Macaca fascicularis: one gene and its partner. The protein of the gene in region 2 binds, or shares a complex with, the protein of the main gene of each other region. Links are inferred from orthologs where the notes say so. Each region holds a gene or a part of one and is shown on either strand. Other genes may lie near its edges.

Region 1 (3,748 bases), on a different chromosome or scaffold from region 2:
ATCGTGTTTCATTTCCTAGAGAGGTAGGAGAGAGCAGGGATTGCCTTGGAGAACAGTGAGAGAGAAAAATCAGAAAGAGGGACACTGCTCCAGGAAGGGAACAGGCAGTAGATTGTGGCTACTACTTTGAAGTACATAAATTACATAACCAGTTCCCTATTACCAGCTGTGGTGGAAGCAGAGCCTTTGCTAGAAATGATTATGTAGTATAGCAGAGACCCACACCTGCCACCACACCTGGCTAATTTTTGTATTTTTACTAGAGATGGGGTTTCACTATGTTAGCCAGGCTGGTCTCGAACTCCTGACCTCAAGTGATCTGCCTGCCTCGGCCTCCCAAAGTGCTGGGATTAAAGGCATGAGCCACCGCGCCGGGCCCCAGAGACCCAAAGCACTGGGCTCCTTGGTTGGAAGGTTCTTGTGTCCCAAGTGTGATGAACAGACAGCTGCCAATGTCAAGGGACCATGAAGACTTGGCCAGTAGCATCTTAACAGAAACTAGAGAGATTAAAAAACAAAACAAATCAACAACAACAAGAAAACAAACCCTGCACTCTCAGACAGGATCCTTTCTGAATGTTTTGCTCTGGGCAAGACTCTAGTTTCTGTGAAAAATCTTAATAACATTTGTTAAATCCAAACATGTAGTTGCAAATGTTTACCTACTACAGCAGCCAAGTGGAAAGTCTATTGCCGCTAAATTCACTGCTTTTTACTCTTTTTCCTCCAGATTAGCCAAATAGCCTCTTTACAAATGTACACTAATCTCAATTTTAACGTTTATATTGAAGGCAAATACTAAATCTCAAAGTTAAGGAGTCCTAGACAAGAGGATTAGACGGGATAAAGCATAATGAATACACAAAATACTTCATAAATCAGTGGTTCTCAACCTTCAGCATGCACAAGAATCACATGGGGTATTTATTTGAAATGCAGTCTCATGAACTCCCTCCTGAGATATCTGGATTCAGCAGGAGTAGGATGAGGCCTAGAATCTGCATTTTAATAGCACCAAGTGCTTTTGATGCTGTAGTCAATGGACACATATTGAATATTACCGTAATACTCATTTGCTGAATGAGCGGTATGTACCAATCCTAACTATAGAAGGGCCAGTTGATTATACACGGCTCCTGGCATCAACATACGTAAGTTATGAGCTCCTTTGAACCTTCTTATGGCATTACACAACGAGTAATAATGGACCAATTTCTTTCTCTGCATCATCGCAGAATTGTACTCAATCTTTTTCTGTAACATTTCTGGAGAGGGCAGGGGGAAAAAAAGTAAAATATTTTACAAATTACAATTTTTCAGTGACTAGACTTACATCTTTTTCCTCTCCTGGACACCCAAATGGAAAGTATAAGGGATAGTAACATCTAAGGGAGGTTCTATACCTAACCCATCTATTGTACTAAGATGGCAGATGTCAATAACATGAGTAACCATAAACCTTACATAAAGTTTTGTTTTGCTCTCATCCAGTTCACTGAAGTCCTCCACCTTCCACCTTCCACCAAAAACAAAAAACAAAATAAACTTCCAGGCAATATCTTCTACTAATCTCCTACCTAGTCTACACCCTAAACTCTCTATAGGGAAAGCAGACACCCAGGATTATGATTACAGGATAGCAAATACTGAAATACTGAAAAGAACACAGGAAATATTATTGAGTGCTTAAGCTTTGCAAGGCACTGTCAAAGAATCGACTGCTTTCATTACACCCCTCCCCTCTTAAGGCCACTCAACTAGTCACCACGCTTATACCAGTAAGAGTGGCTTATAGTTTGCAAATCATTTGACGGTTTTGTAGTGCTTTCATGTGTATTATTTCACCTAATAATACATTTTTCACCTAATAATAAATTTCAACTTTAGAATTTTATTCAGTATTCTCTCATAATTTAGGGAGCACCTGGTATATGCCAGGCCTCCGAGTAATCAAGATACAGTCATCCCATCCTCAGGAATCCACAATGTAGTGGGAGTTCAGAACAAAAATGCTGGCAATTTAAACACAGAATGAGAGAGTGACATAAACGAAAAACCCAACAACCTAAGAAAAGGCAAACTTAATCTAGCCAGAGGAGGCGTGGGAAGGCTTCCCGGAGGAAGTGACATTTAAACCAATATCCGAAAGAGAACAATTTGGCAGGGGAGTTGGGACGGATAGAAGCAGGGAAATATTCCAAGTTGAAGAAAAAGCCTGTGCAAAGGCCTGGAGACAAGAGAAAACAAACCGCAGATAATGAGTACTAGAACTTAGGTAATCTACGTTCTCTCCGCCTCTTTCCACAACAGCTGGAGACTTAATCGACTGCTCCTTGCATGGACTTGGGGGCTGTTTTAACTTTTCAAATCTCCTTTAAGTGTATCATCTTGGAAGACTCTGCCAACACTTTGAAGCTGCAGAAATCACCCCCCATACCACTTCGGATTTCCGCCTACCTTGGGCGCTTCCTCAGTTACCACCGGCACCACACCTGAATCCCTCAGCTTGGCCCCAGCCTCATACCCGAACACCGCCATTTTGATGGCTCACGTGATTTGCTGGTGGGCGGGAAGTGGTGCGGGTTTACGGCTCATGCCTCTCGCTTGCAGCCCGGGCCCGCCCCCCTCAGTCAAAAGCCGCGCCCTCCATCCTGTCTGTGATTGGGCGCGGTGTCTAGAAATTACGGCCACTTATTCGCTTAGAGGAGGTCCAGGTGCCTGTGGGTCCGCCCCCATCGCCAGCAGAGTATTTCCTTCCCTTGCTATTTGTCAGTTTAGCTCCCTGTTTTCCTCGCGTCTTGTGGGGAGGATGGGGCGGCCCAAATGTTGGAATGTTACTGCGCTCCTGCCTCTCCTCAGGGCACCTCTGGTAGCTGGGAACTAGCTGCCTGCCCCTTTCAGTCCTTGAGGGAACTCGCCCCTTTGCCCTGGCCCGTGTGGTGTTAAAGCTCTGTTTCTCGGGCACCTCCTCCTCCAAACCCCCAACCAGCCGCCCAGCGCCGTCAGAGCAGCCCCGACTAGCCTCCTCTCCTCTCAGCCGTCTGACTCCTCTCCCCAGTCTGTAGTCCCCTCAATTTCCATCCTTTAGCCCCGCTTGGAAGGAGACAGGAGAGAAATTTGCCCACTACCCCCCGAGAAGACCCACTTGTCAGTCGTGTCTCAGGGTGGGGGGCACTGCAAGGCCTGGCGCTGTTTTGTGCACGTTAAATGCCCAGCAGTATCTCCCAGACCGGCAACCCCCGACCCTCCAGTCTCCGTGTCTTAGAGAAGCCAAATTCGAGAGTTATATAATTTCTAGTGCTGCTGTTGCTCCTGCCTGAAGAAACACTTCACCGCGTGGAGGGTGCAGGACATTTCAGTGCTCTTCCCTAAAAGAACGGGGCTTGGGCAGGGGTGGCCAGCGGTGGCAGAGAAATGTCTTGTCTTTTCTGCAAAAGGAAGGTGGGTAGTTTGAAGAGAGATTGAGAGAAAAGGATGTGGATGTGAAAGCCAAGCAGCTGCACTTTTTCATTTTGAGGAAATCGCGGACCGTTTGCATAGCTTATGCTTACATGTCTAATACTACTACGGCGTCTCTGAAAACACCTTTGGGGGAAGGTTTGGCTTCTCTCGAAGTCTCAGTGTTTTTCCTCGCCGGATAGGGAGCTGCTTGGATGCGAAGAGATGGCATGATGTGAATGACTCCAGTGTGAAGAAATCTGCTTCGCCAACTCATCCTGCATCAAGTGCCCATTGAGTAGCACTGTCA
Region 2 (3,648 bases):
GTATTTTCTGTAGGGGTTTCACCATGTTGGTCAGGCTGGTCTTGAACTCCTGACCTCAGGTGGTCTGCCTGCCTTGGCCTCCCAAAGTGTTGGGATTACAGCCATGAGCCAGCACACTGGGCCAATTTCTGTATTTTTAGTGGAGATGGGGTTTTACCATGTTGGGCAGGCTGGTCTCCAACTCCTGACAAGTCATCTGCCTGCCTCAGATTCTCGGAGTGCTGGGATTACAGGTGTGAGCCACCGTGGTGGGCTACAATTTTTTTTTTTTTTTTTGAGATGGAGTTTCACTCTTGTTGCCTAGGCTGGAGTGCAATGGTGTGATCTCAGCTCATTGCAACCTCTGCCTCCTGGGTACAAGTGATTCTCCTGCCTCAGCCTCCCCAGTAGCTGGGATTACAGGCGCTCTCCACAACGCCCAACTCATTTTTGTATTTTTAGTAGAGATGGGGTTTCACCAGGTTGGCCAGGCTGGTCTTGAACTCCTGACCTCAAGTGATCTGCCCACCTTGGACTCCCAAAGTGCTGGGATTATAGGCGTGAGCCACCGCGCCTGGCCAACATTTTTTTAAAAAATTAGCTGGGCATGGTGGTGTGCACCTGTTGTCTCAGTTACCTTGGAGGCTGAGGTGGGAGGATCATTTCAGCCCAGGGCCCAGGAGTTCAGGGATACAATGAGCTATTGATCTTGCCACAGCGTGGCAGCCTGGGTGACAGAGCAAGACCCTGTCTCTCTCTCTTTTTTTTTTTTTTCACATGGAATTTTGCTCTTGTTGTCCAGGCTGGAGTGCAGTGGTGCGATCTCGGCTTACTGCAACCTCTGCCTCCCGGGTTCAAGTGATTCTCTTGCCTAAGGCTCCCGAGTAGCTGGGATTATAGGCGTCTGCCACCACGCCTGGATTATTTTTAGTAGAGATGGGGTTTCACCATGTTGTCAAGGCTGGTCTTGAACTCCTGACCTCAGGTGATCCATCCGCCTCGGCCTCCCAAAGTGTAGAGATTACAGGCGTGAGCCACCGCACCCGGCCTGACCCACTCTTTTGTGAAAAGAGAAAAAAAAAAAAAGATCGGGGATGGTGCGTCATTCCTGCAACCCAGCACTTTGGGAAGCTGAGGGGAGAATCACTGGATCCCAGGAGTTCAAAACCATCATGGGCAACACAGGGAGATCCATTTCTTTTTCTTTTCTTTTTTTTTTTGGGGGGACAAAGTCTCACTCTGTTGCCAGGCTGGAGTGTGCAGTGGCACGATCTTGGCTTACTGCAACCTCCTCCTCCCAGGTTCAAGAAATTCTCCTGCCCCAGCCTCCTTAGTAGCTGGGATTACAGGCACGCACCACCAGCTAATTTTTGTGTTTTTAGTAGAGACAGGGTTTCACCATGTTGGCCAGGATGGTCTTGATCTCTTGACCTCGTGATCTACCCGCGTCAGCCTCCCAAAGTGCTGGGATTACAAGTGTGAGCCACTGCGCCTGGACAGGGAGATCCATTTCTACAAAAAATTTAAAAATTAGGTGGGTGTGGTGGTGTGTGCTTGTAATCCCAGCTACTTGGGAGGCTGAGATGGGAGGATCACTTCAGAAAGTAGAGAGGCTAAAATGAGCTGTGATTGTGCCACTGCACTCCAGCCTGGGCCACAGAGAAAGACCTTGTCTCAAATAATAATGATAATAATAATAATAATAAACAAAATAAGTTAACAAATTTCAAAATACCTGATTTCTGTTGAATTTGAAATTGTGATACGTTCATTGCTATACTGATAATTCTTCAATGTGTCTTCTGTTACAGGTAGAATTGGGCTATTTGCTGAAGCTTCTTCGTAGCCCTTGGTAGCCCAGGAAGAAACTTATGTTTTGATTTTTTTGTACCATGGCTTTGTTTCACAAAGTGCTGCGTGGTACTTATATTCTCAGAAAATGCTCTAAGCCAACTTCTGCCTTGCATCCACTTTTGAGTATTCGCTTTGCAGACTATTCCAGTAGTCTTCAGAAACCAGTGGCTTCTCCTGGCAAAGCCTCCTCACAGAGGAAGACTGAAGGGGGTTTGCAAGGACATCACCAGAAAGAAGTTGCTTTGGATATAACTTGTCCTGAGGAGAAACCTGATGTTAGTTTCGATAAAGCAATTAGAGATGAAGCAATGGACCATTTTAGGCGTTTGAAGGATGAAATTGTGAATCATTGGAAGGGACCGGAAGGCCGCCCTCTGCAAGAGGCCTTGCTGGAACAAGCCAAGGTTGTCTGGCAGTTCCGCGGGAAAGAAGATTTGGATAAGTGGAGAGTGACTTCTGATAAGACGATTGGAGGCAGAAGTGAAGTGTTTTTGAAAATGGGCAAGAATAACCAAAGTGCACTGCTCTATGGAACTCTGAGCTCTGAGGCACCTCAGGACGGGGAGTCTGCCCGCAGTGGGTACTGTGCAATGATATCCAGGATTCCAAGGGTAGGTGAGGCCCAGGCGGCATCATTTTCTAGTGAACAGGGGTGAACTTCATTGTAGCATAAACTATAGAAGATAGCTTTTGTGGCCGGGCGCGGTGGCTCACGCCTGTAATCCCAGCACTTTGGGAGGCCGAGGCGGGCGGATCACAAGGTCAGGAGATGGAGACCACGGTGAAACCCCGTCTCTACTAAAAATACAAAAAAATTAGCCGGGCGCGGTTGTGGGCACCTGTAGTCCCAGCTACTCGGGAGGCTGAGGCAGGAGAATGGCGTGAACCCGGGAGGCGGAGCTTGCAGTGAGCCGAGATCGCGCCACTGCACTCCAGCCTGGGCGACAGAGCAAGACTCCGTCTCAAAAAAAAAAAAAAAGAAGATAGCTTTTGTTTCTATAAATGAAAACACCTGGCATGTTATATTTGGCGCCTCACCTGTGTTTGGAGATAAGTATTGGCACAAGTGTAAAGTGGAAGCACAAGGGGGAAGTGGTTTCTGAGGAGGAGGAGTTACTTGTTTCTGGGCATTGCTTTGGGCCAGGAACCAGCATTGTTATGTTTCAGGAATCCTGAGCGGTTAGACATTTGAAAGATTTTTGGAGAGATTTTCATCTCCTCTAACAAAGACCACAGCCTCTGTAATGGCCGGGGGTTTTATAGAGTTGATGTAGGGTCAGCCTGTGGCTTTCTTTTTTTTTTGTTTTGAAACGGAGTCTTGCTCTGTCACCCAGGCTGGAGTGCAGTGGCATGATCTTGGCTGACTGCAACTTCTGCTCTCCAGGTTCAAGTGATTCTCCTGCCTCAGCCTCCTGAGTAGCTGGGACTACTGGTGCATGCCACCATGCCTGGCTAATTTTTTGTATTTGTAGTACAGACAGGGTTTCACCATGTTGGCCAGGCTGGTCTTGAACTCCTGACCTCGGGTGATCCACGCCCCCCCCGGCTTGGCCTCCCAGAGTGCTGGGATTACAGGTGTGAGCCACTGTGCCTGGCCCAAATATTCATTTTGGAATAATGAAAATAGTAGATAACATTTATTAAGCGTGACGTGCCAGTCCTTGTGCTAAGCACTTTATATTATCCCATTTATTCCTCACAACAGTCTCCTGAGGTAAGATCATCCCAGGTTTATGGATGAGGAAACAGAGTTGGATAGATTTAGTAACTTGTCCAAAGTTACACGGATAATAAATATTAGTTTATATCTAGACT

The links. The genes of interacting proteins can lie anywhere in the genome.
Region 1: NDUFAF1 (region 2) and TMEM126B share a complex: the UniProt entries of both Homo sapiens proteins name them as parts of the mitochondrial complex. The link is inferred for Macaca fascicularis from reciprocal best matches to the Homo sapiens genes NDUFAF1 and TMEM126B.

What each region holds. Positions count from the first base shown.
Region 1 is NC_088388.1:84,670,126-84,673,873, reverse strand, and holds the start of TMEM126B (complex I assembly factor TMEM126B, mitochondrial), read right to left. Parts: upstream 2,550-3,748; 5' UTR 2,539-2,549; coding exon 2,458-2,538; intron 1,510-2,457; coding exon of another isoform or gene 1,465-1,509; intron 1,266-1,464; exon of another isoform or gene 499-1,265; coding exon 310-498; intron 16-309; exon of another isoform or gene 1-15. UniProt on the Homo sapiens protein: As part of the MCIA complex, involved in the assembly of the mitochondrial complex I. Participates in constructing the membrane arm of complex I.
Region 2 is NC_088381.1:17,945,458-17,949,105, reverse strand, and holds part of NDUFAF1 (complex I intermediate-associated protein 30, mitochondrial), read left to right. Parts: intron 1-1,790; 5' UTR 1,791-1,871; coding exon 1,872-2,444; intron 2,445-3,648. UniProt on the Homo sapiens protein: As part of the MCIA complex, involved in the assembly of the mitochondrial complex I.